Saccharomyces cerevisiae S288C: one gene and its partners. Changing the gene in region 1 together with any one later gene gives a genetic interaction. Each region holds a gene or a part of one and is shown in the gene's direction. Other genes may lie near its edges. The genes, in order: INP53, ENT3, GGA2 and SER2.

Region 1 (7,301 bases):
GATTTGTGAGTTCTGTTAATGAGAAAAAGTACTCCGCCACATATGCCCACAATGACTCTGCTACGGAACAAGATCTCAAAAACGAGTCTACAACTTCTTTTTCGTCATTAGGCGTGGAGGATATTTCTGAAGATAGAAATTCGTATCTTAAGAAGCCTGATATCAATGGTTTGTCAACTATCATTCAAGAAACGTCTGCAAACACGACCAATGAGTCGCAATGCAGCGATCGCACTTCTCGGCCAAGCGAGTCCTCTTCCTCACTCAACACTACCAGCTCGACCTACAAGAATACCAGCACTAGAAATCTGCAAAAACCGCAAAATACAGGAATTCTCAACTCGGGGAAAGGTTTATTGCAAAAACTTAACTTTGTTAAAAAACGGAAATCTTTCAAACAGCCTTCAGGCGTCATTTGTAGCCATTATAACAGCAATGTTCAAAACCGTTTGAAAGGACAAAACAGTCATCAACAAAGATAGCCTCTTCATCATCTGTGGAGACACAAATATCTTCATCCTCATCGCCATTACCCAATAAAGCGATCGGTAAAAATGAAAAAAGCGTTGAAAACGGCTTTAAAAAGCTAAATTTGCATGATATCAGTTAATCAAGATTAGAACTTTGATTAAGTAGAACAACGATAGAAAATCCGCTTTTCTGGCTAGTTCCCTCGTTTCATATTAATTCATTTCACACAATTTACTTCATTTCATCACGCTCATATTGTTTGTAACTTTAGTTTTTATTTAATTTTACGTACATGACACTGCATATAATTATTTCACAGGCATTTAAAATAAGAGCATTGGGCACAGTCTTCTTTTATATGTTGTCATATTCAAACACTAAACATTTATCTGTATAGTAATTAATGTTAGCTCTTCCTTCTGCATGGCGCTTGTTATATACTTCATTCGTCTATTTTGGTGCCGCGCGCCATCATGGTCCGGTAACGGTCGTAGTGAATGACTCATATTTTTCCATCTCTTTCGGCCTTGCCAAAAAATGAAAAAAAAAAAAAAAAAAAAAAAAAAAATTAAAAACGATGTCCAGAATCACAACTACAACATAGTTTTGCCTCTTACTGGCTTGATTGGAAGTTAGCTGTTAAATTTCAATAATGCCTTACTTTACTCCACGAAATCACAATCCTTGTTTTCGGCTTATAAGGGTCTTCTCCTTAGGATAATACTATCGGCACATTATCATTTAGCCGCGTAGCCATGGTAAAACATTCGTTCATAGCGCTAGCTGAGCATGCTAGTAAACTAAGAAGGTCTATCCCACCCGTCAAACTGACTTATAAAAATATGCTACGGGACCCATCGGTAAAATATAGGGCGTTTGCTCCACCAAAAATGGTCAAGAGGATTTGGCCTGACAAAACTATTCAAAAGGCTCCACGTTGGCTGTCTACTGACTTGAGGGACGGTAATCAATCTTTACCGGACCCAATGTCTGTGGCTCAAAAGAAAGAATATTTCCACAAGTTGATCAACATCGGTTTCAAAGAAATCGAAGTGTCTTTCCCCTCTGCATCTCAAACAGATTTCGACTTCACCAGGTATGCTGTAGAAAACGCTCCAGATGATGTTGGTATTCAATGTCTTGTCCAATCTAGAGAACACTTGATTAAAAGAACCGTGGAAGCATTGACTGGTGCTAAAAGGGCTACCATACATACTTACTTGGCCACAAGTGACATGTTCCGAGAAATTGTCTTCAATATGTCTAGAGAGGAAGCTATTTCTAAAGCTGTAGAAGCCACCAAACTGGTTAGGAAACTAACCAAGGATGACCCTTCCCAGCAAGCTACTCGTTGGTCCTATGAGTTTTCTCCCGAATGTTTCAGTGATACGCCAGGTGAATTTGCTGTAGAAATTTGTGAAGCTGTTAAAAAGGCTTGGGAACCTACCGAGGAAAATCCGATCATTTTCAACTTACCAGCTACTGTAGAAGTTGCCTCTCCAAATGTTTACGCTGATCAAATTGAGTACTTCTCTACCCACATTACTGAGCGTGAGAAGGTCTGTATTTCTACGCATTGTCACAATGACCGTGGTTGCGGTGTCGCCGCCACAGAATTAGGTATGCTTGCAGGCGCTGATCGTGTAGAAGGTTGTCTATTTGGTAATGGTGAACGTACAGGTAATGTTGATTTGGTTACAGTTGCCATGAATATGTATACCCAAGGTGTTTCTCCTAATTTAGATTTCTCAGATTTAACTTCAATTTCTGAAATTGTCCATCGCTGTAACAAGATTCCAATTCCCCCAAGAGCCCCATATGGCGGTGAATTGGTTGTTTCTGCCTTTTCTGGTTCTCATCAGGATGCAATTAAGAAGGGATTTGCAATCCAAAACAAGAAACAGGCTCAAGGAGAAACTCGGTGGAGAATTCCATACTTACCATTGGATCCAAAGGATATTGGACGTGATTACGAAGCCGTCATCAGAGTCAACTCTCAATCCGGTAAGGGTGGTGCTGCTTGGGTTATTATGAGATCTCTAGGATTAGATGTACCAAGACCAATGCAAGTTGATTTCTCCAATACTCTACAGAAAAATGCAGATGCCTTAGGAAGAGAGTTAAAATCCGAAGAGATTACAAAATTGTTCAAAGAAACTTACAACTACAACAACAATGAACATATATACGTCACCTTGTTGAATTACGAAGTTAAGAAATTGAACCCAGAGCGTAGAGCTTTAGTGGGCCAGGTAGAAATCAACGATAAGGTTGTCAACATCGAAGGCTACGGAAATGGTCCTATCTCTTCTTTGGTGGATGCGCTATCCAATTTACTGAATGTTAAGTTGAGCGTTCAAAACTACTCTGAACATTCCTTGGGTTCTGGTTCTGCAACCCAAGCGGCATCTTTCATAAATCTTTCCTACATAAAGGACATCAATAATCATGCTACTAGTAATATGTGGGGTGTTGGTGTCTCCGAAGACACTGGGGATGCATCTATTAAGGCGGTATTTGCTACTGTCAATAATATTATTCATTCCGGGGATGTTCTACTGGCAGAGTAATAGAAAGGAGTAGCTTATGATTACTCATGTTATATATATATGTATTTTTATTTATAAATGGCACAGAAAAGTAACTTATTTCACGTTAAAAAGACATCTTTCAGCGAAGTTTCCAAACACTTCTTCGATGTCTGTGTGGAAAGTTTCTTTCGTTTATAGTTTTATTATTTTTTTTTGCTTTTTTTCCCATGGTACCATTTCCTTTCGTGAAACATTTTACCCAGGCCCACCCACCGCATAATCTTAACTGAATCCGAATAGGGATTTTTCGAGCACTACTGCAACTGTTGAGTGAGCTAGGAGTAGTGTAATTTGAGACTTTGTGAAGGGAGAACAGTCAATATCCAATATCATATTAAGAAAGCTAGCAGTACCTTAAGAGGAAGAAAGAAAATAACTGGGGCGAAGAATATCTAGTTATCCACTCCTTCATAGAATGATTATCTTTGTTTCAGAAGAACCTGAAAGGAGGCTAGCCATTGTATCCAACTTGTATGCTCTTGTTCTTAAACCGGTTGGGAAAAAGCCATCTGATAAACCCCTTTGTGCCATTGAACTTCTTCAAAAAAATGATTTGAAAAAATATGGCTTCAAAAGACTTACATCACACGAAATTTTTGGTGTTATCGGACTCATTGAGGTTAATGGCCTGCTGTTTGTTGGTGCCATCACTGGGAAATCAAAAGTTGCACAGCCATGCCCAGGAGAGACTGTGAACAAAATTTTTGCTGTCGATTTTTTTTGTTTAAATGACAACAGTTGGGATTTTATTGAAATCGACTCCTCAGGTTATCCTGTGTTGCCGGAGACTGCTTCAACTGAATATCAAGACGCCTTGCCAAAACATCCATGCTATGAATTGAAGAAACTATTATCCAATGGATCTTTTTATTATAGTTCAGATTTTGATTTGACCTCAACCTTACAGCATCGTGGATATGGTCAGCATTCTTTGAGTACAGATACCTACGAAGAAGAATATATGTGGAACTCTTTTCTCATGCAAGAAATGATCACATACAGAGATCATTTGGACACAAATTTGAAACAAATCTTGGATGACGAGGGGTTTTTAACAACAGTTATCCGTGGATTTGCGGAAACTTTCGTCTCGTACGTTAAGAAGTTGAAAGTTGCTCTTACTATCATCTCGAAACAGAGCTGGAAAAGAGCAGGAACAAGATTTAATGCACGTGGTGTGGATGATGAGGCAAACGTTGCCAATTTCGTAGAAACGGAATTCATTATGTATTCTAGCCAATACTGTTATGCTTTTACACAGATTAGAGGCAGTATACCTGTATTCTGGGAGCAAGGTACCTCTTTAATCAATCCAAGAGTACAAATTACAAGATCATTTGAAGCCACCCAACCGGTATTTGACAAACATATCATGAAATCAGTGGAAAAGTACGGACCTGTGCATGTCGTTAATTTGTTATCAACGAAATCTTCTGAAATTGAACTTTCAAAACGATACAAGGAGCATTTAACTCATTCAAAAAAATTGAACTTCAACAAAGATATATTTTTGACAGAATTCGATTTTCATAAAGAAACTTCGCAAGAAGGCTTTTCCGGTGTCAGAAAACTCATTCCATTAATATTGGACTCTCTTTTATCTTCTGGCTATTATTCTTACGATGTTAGAGAAAAAAAGAACATATCTGAACAACATGGCATATTTAGGACCAACTGTTTAGATTGTTTGGATAGAACAAATTTAGCTCAGCAAATTATTTCTTTGGCTGCTTTTAGAACTTTTCTCGAAGATTTCCGATTGATTAGTTCAAATTCGTTCATCGACGATGATGATTTCGTTTCTAAACATAACACCCTGTGGGCTGATCACGGTGATCAAATTTCCCAAATATATACTGGTACTAATGCTTTGAAGTCCTCATTTTCAAGAAAAGGTAAAATGTCACTTGCTGGGGCATTATCAGACGCCACAAAATCGGTCAGCAGAATATATATTAACAATTTCATGGATAAAGAAAAGCAACAAAATATCGATACTTTGTTGGGAAGGTTACCGTATCAGAAAGCAGTGCAACTTTATGATCCCGTAAACGAATACGTAAGTACGAAATTACAAAGCATGTCTGATAAGTTCACATCAACCTCCAACATTAACTTGTTAATAGGATCATTCAATGTTAATGGCGCAACCAAAAAAGTTGATTTATCAAAGTGGTTATTTCCAATCGGTGAAAAATTTAAACCCGATATTGTTGTTTTAGGTCTTCAAGAAGTTATAGAACTATCTGCGGGTTCGATTTTGAACGCTGATTACTCGAAAAGCTCTTTCTGGGAAAACTTAGTGGGTGATTGCTTAAACCAGTATGATGATAAATATCTGTTGTTAAGAGTAGAGCAAATGACTTCTTTACTAATTTTATTTTTTGTTAAAGCAGACAAAGCTAAATACGTCAAACAAGTGGAGGGTGCTACTAAAAAAACTGGCTTTAGGGGTATGGCTGGGAATAAAGGTGCAGTGTCTATAAGATTTGAGTACGGTGCCACTTCATTTTGTTTTGTCAATTCTCATCTCGCAGCAGGAGCTACGAATGTCGAAGAACGTCGAAGTGATTACGAGAGCATAGTTAGAGGTATTACTTTCACTAGAACTAAGATGATTCCTCATCACGATTCGATTTTCTGGTTAGGTGACATGAATTATAGAATAAATCTACCGAACGAAGACGTCAGAAGAGAGTTGCTCAACCAAGAAGAAGGATATATCGATAAACTGTTGCATTTTGATCAACTTACCCTAGGTATTAATTCTGGCAGTGTATTTGAAGGCTTCAAAGAACCAACTCTCAAGTTCCGTCCAACATACAAGTATGATCCCGGGACAGGAACTTATGATTCTTCTGAAAAGGAAAGGACGCCGTCATGGACAGATAGAATTATTTATAAAGGGGAAAACTTACTTCCTTTATCTTATTCAGATGCTCCGATAATGATTAGCGACCATCGGCCAGTTTACGCAGCATATAGAGCAAAAATAACTTTTGTTGATGATAAAGAGAGACTATCTCTCAAGAAACGTTTATTCACAGAATACAAACAAGAGCATCCCGAAGAACCGGGTTCTCTGATATCGGATCTTCTCAGCCTTGATCTGGATAATAAGAGCACTGATGGATTCAAAAGCTCTTCTGAAAGTTCTCTACTTGATATTGATCCGATAATGGCACAACCGACAGCGTCCAGCGTTGCTTCTTCGTCACCTGTGTCTTCAGCATCGGCTTCACTACAACCTGTCAGAACTCAAAACAGTAGCCAGTCGCGTACCCCCATAAAGAAACCGGTATTGCGCCCCCCACCCCCACCTGCTCATAAATCTGTATCAGCACCTGCTCCTTCAACATCGAAGGAAAAATCACCAACACCACAGACCTCAACTGCATCGTTGTCATCTGTGACTAAAAATATACAGGAAAATAAACCATTGGCGCAAAATAGACGAATTCCACCACCAGGTTTTAGTCAAAATATATTAACTCCAAAAAGTACCAGTAACTTGGCTTCGCCTATGTCTTCTAAGGTTGATTTATATAATAGCGCGAGTGAATCTACACGTTCAGCCCAAGATGCAAGACAACAGACACCTACAGCATTTGCAGCATCAAGAGACGTCAATGGGCAGCCCGAAGCTTTGCTAGGTGATGAAAATCCAATTGAGCCAGAGGAAAAGGCCAAACTAAACCATATGACTTTAGACTCATGGCAGCCATTGACCCCAAAATGAGAATATGTTATCTTTGAAGTGTGGTTGTTGTTCCGTTTGTATCCCTTTAAATGAACGAAGAGAAACAAGGGGGCTAACCTGGCCAGGTTGTTTTATGTGATTTTATTTAGATAAATATTTATATAAATATTCAGTGAGAGAAAAGGAGTGCGTTAATAAGGCGCGCCGGGTTTAAAGCTGAAAAATAGGACACATTAATATATATACGTTAAATATTGGTGAATACTTATGGGCAAGGTGGAAGAGAATCTCTACTATCCATAAATCCTCAGTAGGCTTTCCCCTAATTACCTTCATTTTTCTACCTCAATAACATATTACTCCTTTTCAATACATTTTATGGTGGTGAACACGATATATATCGCAAGGCATGGATACAGATCCAACTGGCTTCCGGAGGGTCCATATCCTGACCCACTTACAGGAATTGATAGCGATGTTCCTTTAGCAGAACACGGAGTCCAGCAAGCCAAAGAGTTGGCCCATTACCTTTTGTCCTT
Region 2 (4,841 bases), on another chromosome or scaffold:
TGTACATGGGATTTGTTGCCGCATTTGCTCCCAGGACGTCTTTATCAAGAGACTTTCGGCGGTTTCACTCTTCCAGATTGACGAATGCAGAGGTTTATAGGATATACTTGAACTCCTTGCAACAGGAAAATAGAGCGAAAGAACATGTATACAAGTATGCTGGGTACATGAGCAACGGAGCAAGTGATTCGTCAACGTTTAAATATACCTTGGACGAGTTTCTAGATATGGGGTACAAACCCAAAGTTGAAAAATATTACCCATGGATAGGTGAACCAGTAGACACTAACGTAGCTCCTTTAGAAAATGGTAAAGTGGTCTACGAAGCAAGCATGATCGAGGATAGAGTTAAAGGTGATCCTGCTTCTCACGCTAGGAAAAGGCAAAAGGGTTTCCATCAATATTCAAAAAATGGAAGTGTAACTGCTCGATACGTGTTTTGCAATTATGGTAGCATCAGTGATTACAAGCTACTTTTGAAGAAAAACATTGATATTGAAGATAAAATCCACATCGTACGATCGGGTAAAATATTACCTGGATTAAAGGTAAAGAATGCAGAACTTTATGGCGCTTCCAGTGTCATTATATATACAGACCCATTTGACGATGGTAAAGTTACTGAGGAAAATGGGTTTTTACACTATCCTTATGGACCAGCAAGAAACCCAAGTTATATTAGGAGAGATTCTGTAAACTATTTCAGTGACACTCCAGGAGATCCGACAACTCCAGGGTATCCCTCCAAGGATTCCGACACTGAACATATGTCACCGGTAGGGAGAGTGCCGAGGATACCATCGGTGCCGATGAGTGCTAGAGATGTCCAACCAATTTTAGAAAGATTGAATGGCAGGGGTTTTCAAATTGGGCCCGGTAGTAATATAAAAGATTTTGGATCATTCACTGGACCTTCAAGCTCTATCGATAAAGTCCATTTGCATAATGAGCTAACTTACAACATCAAGGAAATGAGTAGTGTAGAGGTTAGTATCCCTGGTATATTCACTGAGGGGGAGATTATTATCGGAGCTCATAGGGATTCGCTCGCCTCGAGTAGCGCCGGTGATGCAAATAGTGGCAGCGCTATTCTTTTAGAAATTGCACGAGGAATGAGTAAATTACTTAAGCATGGTTGGAAGCCACTGCGTCCTATCAAACTAATAAGTTGGGATGGTGAACGATCCGGCCTTCTGGGATCTACAGATTATGCAGAAGCTCATGCTGCGATTCTCAGGAGAAGGGCCTTGGTATACCTAAATCTAGATAATGCAATCTCTGGGACAAATTTTCACTGTAAAGCCAACCCACTTTTACAAGACGTGATATACGAAGCTGCTAAGCTCACGGAATTTAATGGGCACGAAGACTGGTCATTGTTCGACCATTGGAAATACACTTCTAATGCCACTATTTCTCTACTTGATGGGTTGTCTAGTTACACTTCATTTCAGTACCATCTTGGAGTGCCCGCTGCACATTTTCAGTTTAATGCCAATGATACTTCAGGCGCAGTCTATCATAGTAACTCCGTATTCGATAGCCCAACTTGGTTGGAAAAATTTACCAATTCTGACTACAAGTTACACAACACCATGGCCATGTTTGTAGGTTTGACAACGCTGATGCTGAGTGAAAACGAACTGGCAAGATTCAATACACATGTTTACCTGAAGAAAATATATAACTGGTATATCGCATGGCACTCTAATCTATCTTCAGCATTTCCCCAGGACGATGAAGTGAACAGCTTAGCAAAAAGGGTTCTGGACTTATTAAAAGTTGCCACACAGGAAGATAGCATCCAATTTGACCAACAAAATGGTATTCTCTATAAAGAGTGTAGGGAAGCTTTACCTGTTTGGGCTTTTTACAAAAAAATCAAGAGCTATATTAAACTGCAACGATCCAATAGCAAATCAAAGCAAATTGATCAATTATTTATTACACACAGAGGACTGAAAGACAGGGAATGGATGAAGTACTCTCTTTTAGCACCTAGTAAGTTTGAGGGATCTGTCGGGGAAGTTTTGCCCGGCCTTCACGAAGGATTGGCTGATATTGATAGAAACGAGGTCATTCAGTGGTTAACCATTTTGCTAAGCCAATTCAGCAACGTTCGCTATTTACTTCAATAAGCATTTAAGTACCTCACCTCAGTATATACATTTATTTTATTTGCATACGTAGAGTGACTTTGAATAATAACCATGAGAGGCTTTTTTGTATATACTCTATAAACATGGCTTCAATTTCTTATACATGTCACACCGTACGTTGTGCGAGGTGATTAGGAAAAGTAAAAGGGGACTAGAAGAATCATGAAATGATTTGTAGATACAGTTATTTGAGGAAAGCAAAAATTACCAATTCAGGAAGGTGTAGGGACGTCGATAGGAGATCACATCGTTAATTAGTGTTAGGAAGAATGAGTTTAGAGGATACATTAGCCAACATGTCATTATATGACGCCAAGAAATATTTTCGTAAAGCTCAAAATGTTGTTTTCAATTATACTGAGATGGAGGGGAAAGTTCGTGAAGCGACAAACAACGAGCCTTGGGGTGCCTCATCCACTTTAATGGACCAGATTTCTCAAGGAACTTACAATTTCAGGGAAAGAGAAGAAATTTTGTCCATGATATTCAGAAGGTTCACTGAAAAGGCAGGTAGTGAGTGGAGGCAAATTTATAAAGCCTTGCAATTGCTCGATTACCTTATCAAACACGGTTCTGAAAGGTTTATCGATGATACAAGGAATAGCATTAACTTAATTAGGATTTTAGAAACTTTTCACTATATTGATTCCCAGGGAAGAGATCAAGGAATTAATGTCAGAACTAGGGTCAAAGCTTTGATTGAATTATTGAGCGACGATAATAAGATACGCGCAGAAAGAAAAAAGGCAAGAGAAACGGCAAAGAAGTACAAGGGCGTTGCTGGAGGATCTGCCTCTGCTGATGGCAGTTTGAATTCGAAGGCAGGTTTCACGTCAACGAAAGTGCACGGCATTAGCGTGAGTGCTGATTTCGATAGTGACAATGAAGATAACGAAGATGGTTCTTTTAGTCAAAATGGATATAACGATAATGCCTCGAGAGCCACATCTACTCCTGGGCAAGGAAAACAAGAACCAGAGGACTTTGTTGACTTTTTTTCTAGTGAGTCTTCAAAACCATCTAAAGAACTCATACAAGAAGATGAAAAGAAGGCGGACGAAGAAGAGGACGATGATGACGAGTTTTCAGAATTTCAAAGCGCCGTCCCTGTTACCAACCCTGCTAATTCGTTTAACTTGCTAAACACGAGCCCAATTGAGGGTATGCCCGCCACCACGAGTTCAATGCCTTTTTATAACAGCTCCACTACCGACCAAGGCAAGATTACCCCAGCTATTGCGGAACCTAAAAAAGTAGATCCTTTTAGCTCTCTCTTTTCAACTGCAAAGGCATCTGCAGAAGCACCTAGTGCTCCTAAAGCATCCCAAGCGAAAGCCGCTGCCTCTAATCCTGTATCTAATAGCACAACTGCACTAAGTACAGATCAAGATGATGATGACGAATTTGGTGAAATGCATGGTGGAGCTGTTCAACAAGAACAGAATACCAATAATAACCATACATCATCCAAAGAAATCGATTTACTTTCCTTTTGAGTGATATTATTGGTTTACACAATATGTAAATGTTTTATAACAATAGAAAGTACTTTGTAACAGGTATTACGAACATTACTATCTAATCTCCACTGTATTTCTCCTTTATATGTTTGTCTTGATTTCGTGAAATAGTTTGTGAACATTTTTTTGATCTTTTTTTCGTAAAGAAGGGCCCTTTTCAAATTTATTTACATTTTGGTCATTTGAAAATACTTTACTTAAAAAGACGAGGAAGAAACTGTAAATCCATAGTTCGAGAGTTGAAGTGCCCTTCAAAACAAAAACTCCTGACTTTTTTTGCTCATTTTTAGTCAATGAACTAAAACTCACCTTCCTTCTCGTTTATTTTTGCCTAGCATTATAGAGCAATTATAACTATATATTAAAGTTGACGCACCGAAAAAAAAGGCACGAAAGAAAACTCTACTAATTTTTCACATCTCGAAAAAGCTCATTGCAGAAGGATTTACCAATATTTCTAAAGTTAACGTAACCATGGCACCGGAAATTTTTGTTAAATTCAAGTGTGCAAGTAGAGACATAAAGCTACTATGGGCGTCCGTCTTTCTTAGACTTCTATCATATGGTTTAACAAATCAAGTTTTGACGCTTTTTTTAAATGCCATCAATATGACAGAGGATAAAATTGGGCTGTTTATGTCATTAACACTGGCAGGGGATGTAATTTGCTCTTACATTCTTACTTGGTATGCGGATTCCTGGGGCCGAAGAAGAGTCCTAGTTTATGGTTGTGCAATGATGTTGTTAAGTGGGTTGGTTTTCAGTTTTAGCGAAAATTTCACCCTCTTGCTAGTATTTGCTATCTTCGGTGTTATATCGCCTTCAAGTGATGAAGTCGGGCCTTTCAAATCTATAGAAGAGGCCATGATTGCACATCTGAGTCCTCATAATGCAAGACCAGAGATTTATGCTATTCACGCCTTGGTTGGAACAATTGGAAGCGCTCTAGGTGCAATAATTTGTGGTATATTTGTAGATCTTTTGAAAAGAACTGGTTTAGCTGCTACTGATTTGCAATGTTATAAATTAGTTTTCTTACTGTATGCCTTCTTCGCCTTTTGCAAAATGGTCATCATGCTCTTATTATCAGATGCTACAGAATTGGACGGGCATTATGAACATACAGATTGCAATGAAGAAACAGCTGAACCATTGGACGTTA
Region 3 (5,632 bases), on another chromosome or scaffold:
GGATGCAGAGCCTGTGACCACTGATGCTATAATCTTGGCCACGGGTGCTTCCGCTAAGAGAATGCATTTACCAGGGGAGGAAACCTACTGGCAGCAGGGAATATCTGCCTGTGCTGTATGTGATGGTGCAGTCCCTATCTTTAGAAACAAGCCATTGGCCGTTATTGGTGGTGGTGACTCTGCGTGTGAGGAAGCGGAATTTCTTACGAAGTATGCGTCGAAAGTATATATATTAGTAAGAAAGGATCATTTTCGTGCATCTGTAATAATGCAGAGACGAATTGAGAAAAATCCAAACATCATTGTTTTGTTCAACACAGTTGCATTAGAAGCTAAGGGTGATGGTAAGTTATTGAATATGTTGAGAATTAAGAATACTAAAAGTAATGTGGAGAACGATTTAGAAGTAAATGGACTATTTTACGCAATAGGTCACAGCCCTGCCACAGATATAGTTAAAGGACAAGTAGATGAAGAAGAGACGGGGTATATAAAAACTGTGCCTGGATCGTCTCTGACTTCTGTGCCAGGTTTTTTTGCTGCAGGTGACGTTCAGGACTCTAGGTATAGACAAGCAGTTACTTCTGCTGGTTCCGGATGCATTGCTGCTTTGGATGCAGAACGGTACCTAAGTGCCCAAGAGTAACGTGAAAAAACCGGTTTATTTTTGTTTTTACTGTTCGATTGTGTTACGTATTCTATGTTTTTTGAGATATATTTGAAATATTTTTATAAGATACATATATATATGTGCGTATTGCTGCGACAAAAGAAGAGACAAAGAGATAGGCGTTGAAATTGACGAGACAAAGAGGAAGACATTAATTAATCATCATTTTAAATGGGATTTTTTTACTTGCAAGCTTTTGACCTGCTCTTCTAGTTTTTTTACCTTTCCTTGAATTTCTTCCAAGTCACCGTTCAGTCTGATTCTTTCGTTAACAATGTTTTGCTCCCATTGTCTAAATCTTTGCTCCTCAGCTTTGACTTGGTCAGTGAAATACTTCTTCAATGCATTTTCTTCTTCTTTGTATCTAGGATTGTGTGACAATTTCCTTGCTGGTGCAATTGCTGGAAGAGTGAAATCTTCATTCCCCTCCCCGGTGTTCTCGTGACCCTCAAGTCTTAATCTTCTGTATGTTTCGTAATGCATTTCTTGGGTGGTAGAAATCAAATCTAATAGATAAGTCCTCAGTAACAGGGCTCTGAGCTTACGGAAATCACAATGAGAATCGTTTTCGATTTCCACAAGTCCCCAAGGATACTTCCTTGCAACTACCTGAGTGCCTTGCCCATTGTCAAATTTTTTTTCAGACCCTACTATGGCAAATGGCATTGCTTCTATCAACTGTCTTGCATGTTCAACAGCGGCAGAATCTGGATTACTGCCACTTTTGGCATCTTCCTTAGAATCAGCGTCTAATGGAGGCGTGAAAATACGAATTTCTTGAGCTTCTATTACTTGCCTGATTCTGGACTTGAACTGTTGTAATTCTTGGGCAGTCAATGTATCAGCTTTCGCAATAACTGGAATCAGATTGGCTCTGGTTGACAATCTCTTCATAGTCTCAATGTCAATTGGCTTTAAACCATGTCCAGTGGGCCTGATGAAGTACAGAACGGCATGAACTCTCAAGTCAAATTTCTTAGTACGGTACGGTTGCTGCTCTTGACGCATATAAGAATCGTGTTGATCATCAATAAAATCCACCAATGGTTGCCAGGCTTTGTTGTTATTCACGTTATCTCCAAAACCTGGGGTGTCGATGACATTAACGCGTAATTCGAAATGCTTCTCTTCCAGCAAAGCTCTTGTGATGTCGATTTCTACAGTCTTTCTGATGGGTTCTTGGCGGTGTTGCTGACCATCTGCCCTTTTCAAGACAGTCTGAAATAAGGTATTAATAAATGTAGTTTTACCCAATCCGCTCTCACCACATAACATCACGGTGAATGTACCACCTTCTTCATTAACAATTTTATAACGCTGGTTGGGAAGATTGGATATCCCTACAGGAGGAGGAACAGGGGCAGCAGTCGCAGTGGCAGCACTCATTATTTGATACAATATGTGATGTAGTTCGTTATCAATACTCTTCAGGTCAAGATCCTATATCTTGCTGCACCTTTCAAGACTTTGATCTACTCAAAACAAACAATGGTGATTTCGAAAAAAATTTCGGATTCTTCACTTTTCCAGCGCCCTGTTTTTTTTCTGTAATCACGATTGCAAAAAAAAGAGACTTACCATAGGACAATTTCCATAAACAAAACAAAGAGCAACATAACTCATAGCTGAATTGCTAATCGTGATACTGCATCATGTCCCATCCGCACTCACATAGCATATATTTGTCTGAGTTGCCCGTCAGGAAACCTCAAGCCTTGGGCAATCCTCTTTTGAGGAAGATTCAAAGAGCTTGCAGAATGTCACTTGCTGAACCAGACTTGGCGTTGAATCTTGACATTGCTGACTACATTAATGAAAAACAGGGCGCTGCCCCTAGGGATGCTGCCATTGCACTTGCTAAACTGATCAACAATAGAGAATCGCACGTGGCAATATTCGCGTTATCTCTATTAGACGTGCTTGTCAAGAATTGTGGATACCCATTCCACTTGCAAATTTCTAGAAAGGAATTTTTGAATGAACTGGTCAAGAGATTTCCAGGTCACCCACCATTACGTTATTCTAAGATTCAGAGATTGATTTTAACTGCTATTGAAGAATGGTATCAAACAATTTGTAAACACTCAAGCTACAAGAATGATATGGGTTATATTAGAGACATGCACCGTTTGTTGAAATATAAGGGTTATGCATTCCCCAAAATCAGTGAATCCGACCTAGCAGTTTTGAAGCCTAGTAATCAATTGAAGACCGCTAGTGAAATTCAAAAGGAGCAGGAAATTGCTCAAGCTGCAAAACTCGAAGAATTGATCAGGCGTGGTAAACCTGAAGATTTGAGGGAAGCTAACAAATTAATGAAAATCATGGCAGGGTTCAAAGAAGACAATGCCGTTCAAGCTAAACAGGCTATTTCCAGTGAATTGAACAAATTGAAGCGTAAAGCCGATTTGCTGAATGAAATGCTGGAATCACCTGACTCACAAAACTGGGATAACGAAACTACACAAGAACTTCACAGTGCATTAAAGGTAGCTCAACCAAAATTTCAAAAGATCATTGAGGAAGAACAGGAAGACGATGCGTTAGTGCAGGATCTATTGAAGTTTAATGATACAGTTAATCAACTATTGGAAAAATTCAACTTATTGAAAAACGGTGACTCCAACGCTGCTTCGCAGATACATCCAAGTCATGTTTCTGCTCCGTTACAACAATCTTCTGGTGCTTTAACGAATGAAATCAACTTAATCGATTTCAATGATTTGGACGAAGCGCCCTCTCAAGGCAACAACAATACCAACGGCACGGGTACACCAGCAGCAGCGGAAACATCTGTCAATGACTTATTGGGCGATTTGACCGATTTATCTATTTCGAACCCTTCAACCGCTAACCAAGCATCCTTTGGTCTGGGAGGCGATATCGTGTTGGGGTCCTCTCAACCCGCACCACCAGTTACTACTACTAACAACTCGAACAACACTTTAGATCTTTTGGGACTTTCAACTCCTCAATCGCCAACTAATTCCCAAGCAGTAAACAGTAGTGGGTTCGATCTTTTGATGGGATTTAATCCAACAACAGGTACTACTACTGCGCCCGCAAGAACCCTAGTCAATCAGTCTCCTAACTTGAAGATTGAGTTCGAAATATCTAGGGAGTCAAACTCAGTTATAAGGATAAAATCGTTCTTTACAAACTTAAGTTCGTCACCGATCTCCAACTTAGTGTTCTTATTAGCAGTCCCTAAGTCAATGTCTTTGAAATTGCAACCCCAATCGAGTAACTTTATGATTGGCAACGCTAAAGATGGTATCTCTCAAGAAGGTACAATTGAAAATGCGCCAGCTAACCCTTCAAAGGCTTTGAAAGTCAAGTGGAAGGTCAACTATTCTGTCAACTCCACCCAAGCTGAAGAAACTGCTGTTTTTACGTTACCTAATGTATAATCCTCTGGCGTTTCTTATCAATCCTTTCTCTTCTCTATGTATATTTTTAGAAGGATAATACCTCTATGTAGACAATCTTATAAAGATCTTCGCAACAATACATATTTCACTTACTAATATATGTTGCGTTTTCATGCATCAAAAGTAGTTAGCAATGCTAGATCGTGTAAAGGAAAAAAAAGAGAAATAGTATAATTCGCCATCCTCATAACCACTGAAAAATCGAAGTTAACCAAAAGGAAAGTTGAAATGGAGGAAGTGTTCCGTTTTTACTCGAACTCTAGAAATATCTTCATTCATAAAAGCCTTTCATTAAAACCATCCACCATTGATGACCCCAAAAGTGGATATGGCCTTTTCGTAGAACCTTCGAAGTTCAAGAATGATGAATTGAAAAGTGAAACTATCCAATTGCTCCGAATCCCTAAGCGCTGCACGTTTAATATAAACACACTTCTGGCTCTCTTGGGAGATGAGGACGAATTTTCTTCAAAGGAAGAATTTCAAAGAACTAATGACAAAATTAAGATTGCTCTTCGTGAAATAATGGCTCATCCGAATTTCAGTGTGTTCCTGACAGAAACAAATTTACTCATAATTTATTTCATGATATTTCAAACTATTCGTAGTCGTTATGAGATTCCCGAAAATATCCAATATTATTTAGAAAATGTTTTAATGAGCATTGAAGTAGAAACAGCCATGGATTCTATTGAAAACTTAGCTACTGATTATGGACATTATCCACAGATTTTTGGCCTTCGAGAGACGCTAAATTTATTTAAAGAACTGTTTCACGACGTCTTGAATTTAAGTGATATCAAACATCTTTATTCTGCAATAATTTCACGTTGTTTAGAGATACCAGAAAGGGCCGATACCAAAAGTGAAGAATTCACGGTCCATTCTACTTTAGTCCCTATTGTAGATTTTGCCAACCATGAAGGCACCCAAAAAAATGCTTATTTTGACATCGACCCTTCAAATAATGACGTTTTACTTCTATTGGATACAAAAGCGGTCCAAAGTGAACTCACAAAACCTATTGAAGTTTTCATTAGTTACTCACCAACAGAGGATTTATTTTCCATGCTTGTAACATATGGATTCACCCCAGATTTTAGAGGGAATTCCCAATTTTGGACTGTATCCTTTGACAGGTGCTTTTTAAGAAACTATGATGGACCAGATAAAACTACAAATTTAAGATTGTTTTACAAATGGATGCACATAAATCCAGTGGTACCACTAGTTAAATACGAGCACAACGGAAAGACTCGCTGGTTTCTCAATGACACCACGCCTGAATTTGATATGCTTTTGCTCCCATTCATTCCATCGATAGATGATGGCAAAATTGCTCGGTGGGCGTACGATTCCACATGTCATTTGATGTTCACGAAAATCCATTGTCTGATAAATCCCGAGGCCAACGAACATGCGTTAATGATTGCAGAAAACTACCGCTCTCTCATTAAAGAGAAAGAGTCAAATGGTGACGATTTCATAAATTTACCGCCACTAGCTTGGTCATTGCGTTACAAAGATACAG
Region 4 (4,864 bases), on another chromosome or scaffold:
AAAACCTAATTACCAAACGAAGCGGGGAGACGCATTAATGAGAACAATAAATGTATGAAACTTTTAGCAATCTAAATGATACTATACCAAGACAAGCGAACACTGGCTAGCACAATATTTGGGCGGAACGAAATAAAATAACGAAGATATACATAAGACACAAAGGAAAAAGCGTTCCATTGCATCTCTGAAGTGAATAATATAAAAAGTAGTAAAGCTAGAAATGTGTGATAAGTCAAAAACGGTATTGGACTACACGATAGAATTCTTGGATAAATATATACCTGAATGGTTTGAGACGGGAAATAAATGCCCCTTGTTCATTTTCTTCTCGGGCCCACAAGGCTCAGGCAAAAGTTTTACAAGTATCCAAATCTATAACCATTTGATGGAAAAATATGGGGGTGAAAAATCTATCGGTTACGCCTCAATTGATGATTTTTATTTAACTCACGAGGACCAATTGAAACTCAATGAGCAATTCAAGAACAATAAGCTGTTACAAGGACGTGGTTTACCAGGTACTCATGATATGAAATTGTTGCAAGAGGTATTGAACACCATCTTCAATAATAATGAACATCCGGATCAAGATACTGTCGTACTACCCAAGTACGATAAATCCCAATTTAAAGGAGAAGGGGACCGTTGCCCCACTGGTCAAAAAATCAAGCTACCAGTCGATATTTTTATCTTAGAAGGTTGGTTCCTCGGGTTCAACCCCATTTTGCAAGGAATTGAGAATAATGATCTTCTTACTGGGGACATGGTTGATGTCAATGCCAAGCTCTTCTTCTATAGCGACTTGTTGTGGCGCAACCCAGAAATCAAATCTTTAGGGATAGTATTCACCACCGATAACATTAACAATGTTTATGGCTGGAGACTACAACAGGAGCATGAACTAATATCAAAGGTCGGAAAGGGGATGACCGACGAACAAGTGCATGCTTTTGTGGATAGATACATGCCCTCCTATAAACTTTATTTGAACGACTTTGTCCGGAGTGAAAGTTTAGGTTCCATTGCTACATTGACGTTAGGAATCGACTCCAACAGGAATGTATATTCTACGAAAACGAGATGTATTGAATAGTGATGTTATGACCTTTTTTTTTACGCCTTTTTTTTTTTTTTTTTTTTTTTTAATTTATCTCACTTTTCCCTTCTATTTTATGTACTAACAGATAATTTTATAATGATTTCATGTATTTTTGGTTCAGAATTTTGACAAGGCAACTCTTGAATAATTGTCGTATGCAAAAAAAATTGTTTATCTGTTACATATCCATCATAAAACTTTTATAGAGCTTTTATTGTCCTTCTTATACAAATACCGTTCAGAGGCTGTCCGAGATTTAAGCGGTTTTGGAAAAATTACTGCTATTAATTAAGATTAAAAAGGAAAGGAAAATAGCAATGGGAGCTTATCGCATAAAAAAATGAACAATAATGTTGAAGAACTCCTACGGCGTATTCCCCTCTACAACAAATATGGTAAGGATTTTCCACAAGAAACAGTGACTAGGTTTCAGATGCCTGAATTTAAGTTACCAGCGCTACAACCAACAAGGGACTTATTATGCCCTTGGTACGAAGAATGTGACAATATCACCAAAGTCTGTCAGTTACATGATTCTTCTAATAAGAAATTCGATCAGTGGTACAAGGAGCAATATCTGAGTAAAAAACCACCGGGAATTGTTGGAAACACACTATTATCTCCATCAAGAAAGGATAATTCCTAGTTAAATTGCATTTCGATATCTATGTACACATATACAGCAATTTTTTTTTATAAACCTTAGTAATATTATCAGTTTTCATTTTATGTCATTTGACCTTTGTTGCATTTAAATGGCCTTAACTTCTTTTAACTTTTCAATCAATTCATCCACAGAATTCAATTTCACACCAGGTGACTTAGTCTTTGGCTCTTCCATCGACACTATCTTTAACTGAGGTTCAATATTAATTTCAGGAAAATCTTTTGCTATATCCAATTTTTCAATAGGCTTTTTCTTCGCCTTCATTAGTTTGGGCAGTCCTACGTAACGCGGAGTGTTCAATCTCAAATCTGTAGTAATAACCATTGGTAAGGAAGCTTCAATTACTTCTTCTCCATCGTCAATTTCTCTTGTTACCTGAACTCTACCATTATCAAGGAATTCCACCTTTGCCGCATTTGTTGCCTGTGGCCAATTTAATAAACCTGCCAACATCTGACCGGTGTTGTTACAGTCATCATCAATGGCTTGCTTTCCCATCAAAACCAGATTAGAACCCTTCTTTTCAACAACAGCTTTTAAGATTTTAGCAATTGCTAAGGGCTCTATGTTTTCTTTACCCACAGAGTCAATTAAACTACAGGTGTCTATTCCCTTAGCAAGGCAATTTCTTAGAATATCCTGAGCTTTGGCGGAGCCAATAGAAACTGCATGCGTAGATTCTACTAAACTCTTGTTCTTTTCTTTAATTCTGATGGCTTCTTCGACAGCAATATCATCGAAAGGGTTGATACTGAATTTGATTCCACTGGTTTCAATCCCAGTTAAGGTCTTATTTACTCTAGGCTTGATCTGGAAATCAACTACCCTTTTCACCGGAACTAATATACGTAGTTGCTGTTTTGCAGACATTTTTATTACTCTTTCTGATACTTGATTATCGGGGTTATTGATCCTAGTGTGTCTTGACAACGTTTCTCGAATCAGGATTATTTTACACCGAGAAAGAAAGAGTCAATACTAATAATCTCGAAAGATCTTCAAGTGAAAAATAAAAAAAAATGATAAATAAAAAATAGAAACTATGAAACTATGTAAAAAAAAAACAAATAGACATATCCAAGCAAGTCCAATAGCATAGACATTAAGCACGACAGCTGTAAAAAATGTCAAAGTTTGTTATCACCTGCATAGCTCATGGAGAAAATCTCCCAAAAGAAACCATCGACCAGATTGCGAAAGAAATTACTGAAAGCTCGGCGAAAGATGTATCAATCAATGGTACCAAGAAACTATCGGCCAGAGCTACCGATATATTCATTGAAGTCGCAGGATCGATTGTTCAAAAAGACCTCAAGAATAAGCTGACGAACGTCATTGACAGTCATAATGATGTTGATGTTATTGTTTCTGTCGACAATGAATATCGTCAAGCCAAAAAGCTCTTTGTCTTTGACATGGATTCAACATTAATCTACCAAGAGGTCATCGAATTGATTGCCGCTTATGCTGGTGTTGAAGAACAAGTGCACGAGATCACAGAAAGAGCCATGAACAATGAACTTGATTTCAAAGAGTCTTTAAGAGAACGCGTTAAATTATTGCAAGGCCTCCAAGTCGATACACTATATGATGAAATAAAACAAAAGCTAGAGGTCACCAAGGGTGTGCCAGAACTATGCAAGTTCCTTCACAAAAAAAATTGCAAGCTCGCTGTTTTAAGCGGTGGTTTTATTCAGTTTGCCGGTTTTATCAAGGATCAGTTAGGTTTAGATTTTTGTAAGGCAAACTTGTTGGAAGTTGACACTGATGGAAAATTAACCGGTAAAACACTGGGTCCTATCGTAGACGGACAGTGCAAGAGTGAAACCCTTCTGCAACTATGTAATGACTACAATGTTCCAGTTGAAGCAAGTTGTATGGTGGGTGACGGTGGTAACGACCTGCCAGCCATGGCTACCGCCGGGTTTGGGATCGCATGGAACGCCAAGCCAAAGGTGCAGAAAGCTGCACCTTGTAAGTTGAATACCAAGAGCATGACTGACATTTTATACATTCTTGGTTACACCGATGATGAAATATACAATAGACAATGAAGAAAATAATGATAGATAGATGTAATAGAGTTTCTTTTTAAAATTGTTTATTTAAACTGGTAAACATGATGTACTTTACGTAGCGTTAATATACCGGCAACTATACGTTGGAAGCAATAGCTTGCTTGATAGCAGCTGGGTTGGCACCGACGACTCTGGTAACCTCCTTACCGCCCTTGTAGAAGATTAGGGTAGGCATGGAAGAAACTTCAGCTTTTTGAGCAACATCTGAGACTTCATCAACATCCAACTTGTAAAAAGCAGCGTCAGAATATTGTTCTGCAAACTTTTCAATCATTGGTGCAATCATTTTACATGGCCCACACCATGTGGCAAAAAAGTCAACAACGACTAACTTGTCGCCAGATGCTAAAGCACTGTCGTATTCAGAAGCGGATTTTAATTGAGTGACCATTATTGATGTGTTATTTAAAGATATCGTAGACTCTCGTGTATGTGTGCGTGTATAATTCTTGCTAGACAACAAATAAAAACTGGTCCTCGTTATTCTCTTGTCAGCTTTTCATCCCCCGAATGGCTTTCTTATATACTGATATCCCTCTTTCGGCTGGCTGGAAACTGAACGCGCTTAGTAAGAAAAGAGCCACCTTGTAGGGAGCATCCTTTACTAAGAGTATAAACAATTACACATATACTTTGATGATTACTTAATATTCACTGGCACTCAAGTTATGCTGATCTTGGAGCGATCTTGAAGCCGAGTATGTCATTCTTACCGGGCTCAACAAGACTTTCTTCACTGACTCTCACGCCGCCAACGGTTTCAATGCTTGCAATGGTGACCTCGCCACCCATGATATACCTGGCAACTTTGCCAACAGGGGTTCCTCGCTTGACCAAAAAACAATCTCTAAATACGTTGGTTCCGTTGCCACCCGTAAAAGTCTGGATGTTCTTCACAGTGTACACCGGTATTAGACCAAGGATGTCCGTTGCTGCTTGCAGAACCTGAACAACACCCGTAGATCCGAATCTATACAGGACCAAATCTCTGATATTTTCAATTCTGTTAAGGATCTT

Evidence for each region.
Region 2: mutations in INP53 (region 1) and ENT3 together harm fitness more than expected from each alone (negative genetic interaction), as found in Saccharomyces cerevisiae (3 studies listed by BioGRID).
Region 3: mutations in INP53 (region 1) and GGA2 together harm fitness more than expected from each alone (negative genetic interaction), as found in Saccharomyces cerevisiae (4 studies listed by BioGRID, with this or other methods).
Region 4: mutations in INP53 (region 1) and SER2 together harm fitness more than expected from each alone (negative genetic interaction), as found in Saccharomyces cerevisiae (3 studies listed by BioGRID).

The regions. Positions count from the first base shown.
Region 1 is NC_001147.6:521,801-529,101, forward strand, and holds INP53 (phosphatidylinositol-3-/phosphoinositide 5-phosphatase INP53), read left to right. Parts: upstream 1-3,477; coding exon 3,478-6,801; downstream 6,802-7,301. Other genes in the region: GTPase-activating protein RGS2, read left to right, coding at 1-482; 2-isopropylmalate synthase LEU9, read left to right, coding at 1,227-3,041; transcription factor TFIIIC subunit TFC7, read left to right, coding at 7,141-7,301. UniProt on the Saccharomyces cerevisiae protein: Dephosphorylates a number of phosphatidylinositols (PIs) like phosphatidylinositol 4,5-bisphosphate (PtdIns(4,5)P2), but also phosphatidylinositol 3-phosphate (PtdIns(3)P), phosphatidylinositol 4-phosphate (PtdIns(4)P), and phosphatidylinositol 3,5-bisphosphate (PtdIns(3,5)P2).
Region 2 is NC_001142.9:653,551-658,391, reverse strand, and holds ENT3 (Ent3p), read left to right. Parts: upstream 1-2,428; coding exon 2,429-3,655; downstream 3,656-4,841. Other genes in the region: VPS70 (putative zinc metalloprotease), read left to right, coding at 1-2,138; YJR124C (uncharacterized protein), read left to right, coding at 4,154-4,841. UniProt on the Saccharomyces cerevisiae protein: Involved in the recruitment of clathrin to the Golgi network and endosomes to form clathrin coated vesicles. Plays a role in the trafficking of clathrin between the Golgi network and endosomes.
Region 3 is NC_001140.6:325,981-331,612, forward strand, and holds GGA2 (phosphatidylinositol 4-phosphate-binding protein), read left to right. Parts: upstream 1-2,322; coding exon 2,323-4,080; downstream 4,081-5,632. Other genes in the region: thioredoxin-disulfide reductase TRR2, read left to right, coding at 1-646; septin CDC12, read right to left, coding at 833-2,056; CTM1 (cytochrome c lysine N-methyltransferase), read left to right, coding at 4,330-5,632. UniProt on the Saccharomyces cerevisiae protein: May play a role in the regulation of membrane traffic through the trans-Golgi network.
Region 4 is NC_001139.9:908,990-913,853, forward strand, and holds SER2 (phosphoserine phosphatase), read left to right. Parts: upstream 1-2,893; coding exon 2,894-3,823; downstream 3,824-4,864. Other genes in the region: YGR204C-A (uncharacterized protein), read right to left, coding at 72-185; TDA10 (putative ATP-dependent kinase), read left to right, coding at 224-1,096; ubiquitin-binding ESCRT-I subunit protein MVB12, read left to right, coding at 1,443-1,748; CIR1 (Cir1p), read right to left, coding at 1,854-2,639; thioredoxin TRX2, read right to left, coding at 3,924-4,238; YGR210C (uncharacterized protein), read right to left, coding at 4,514-4,864.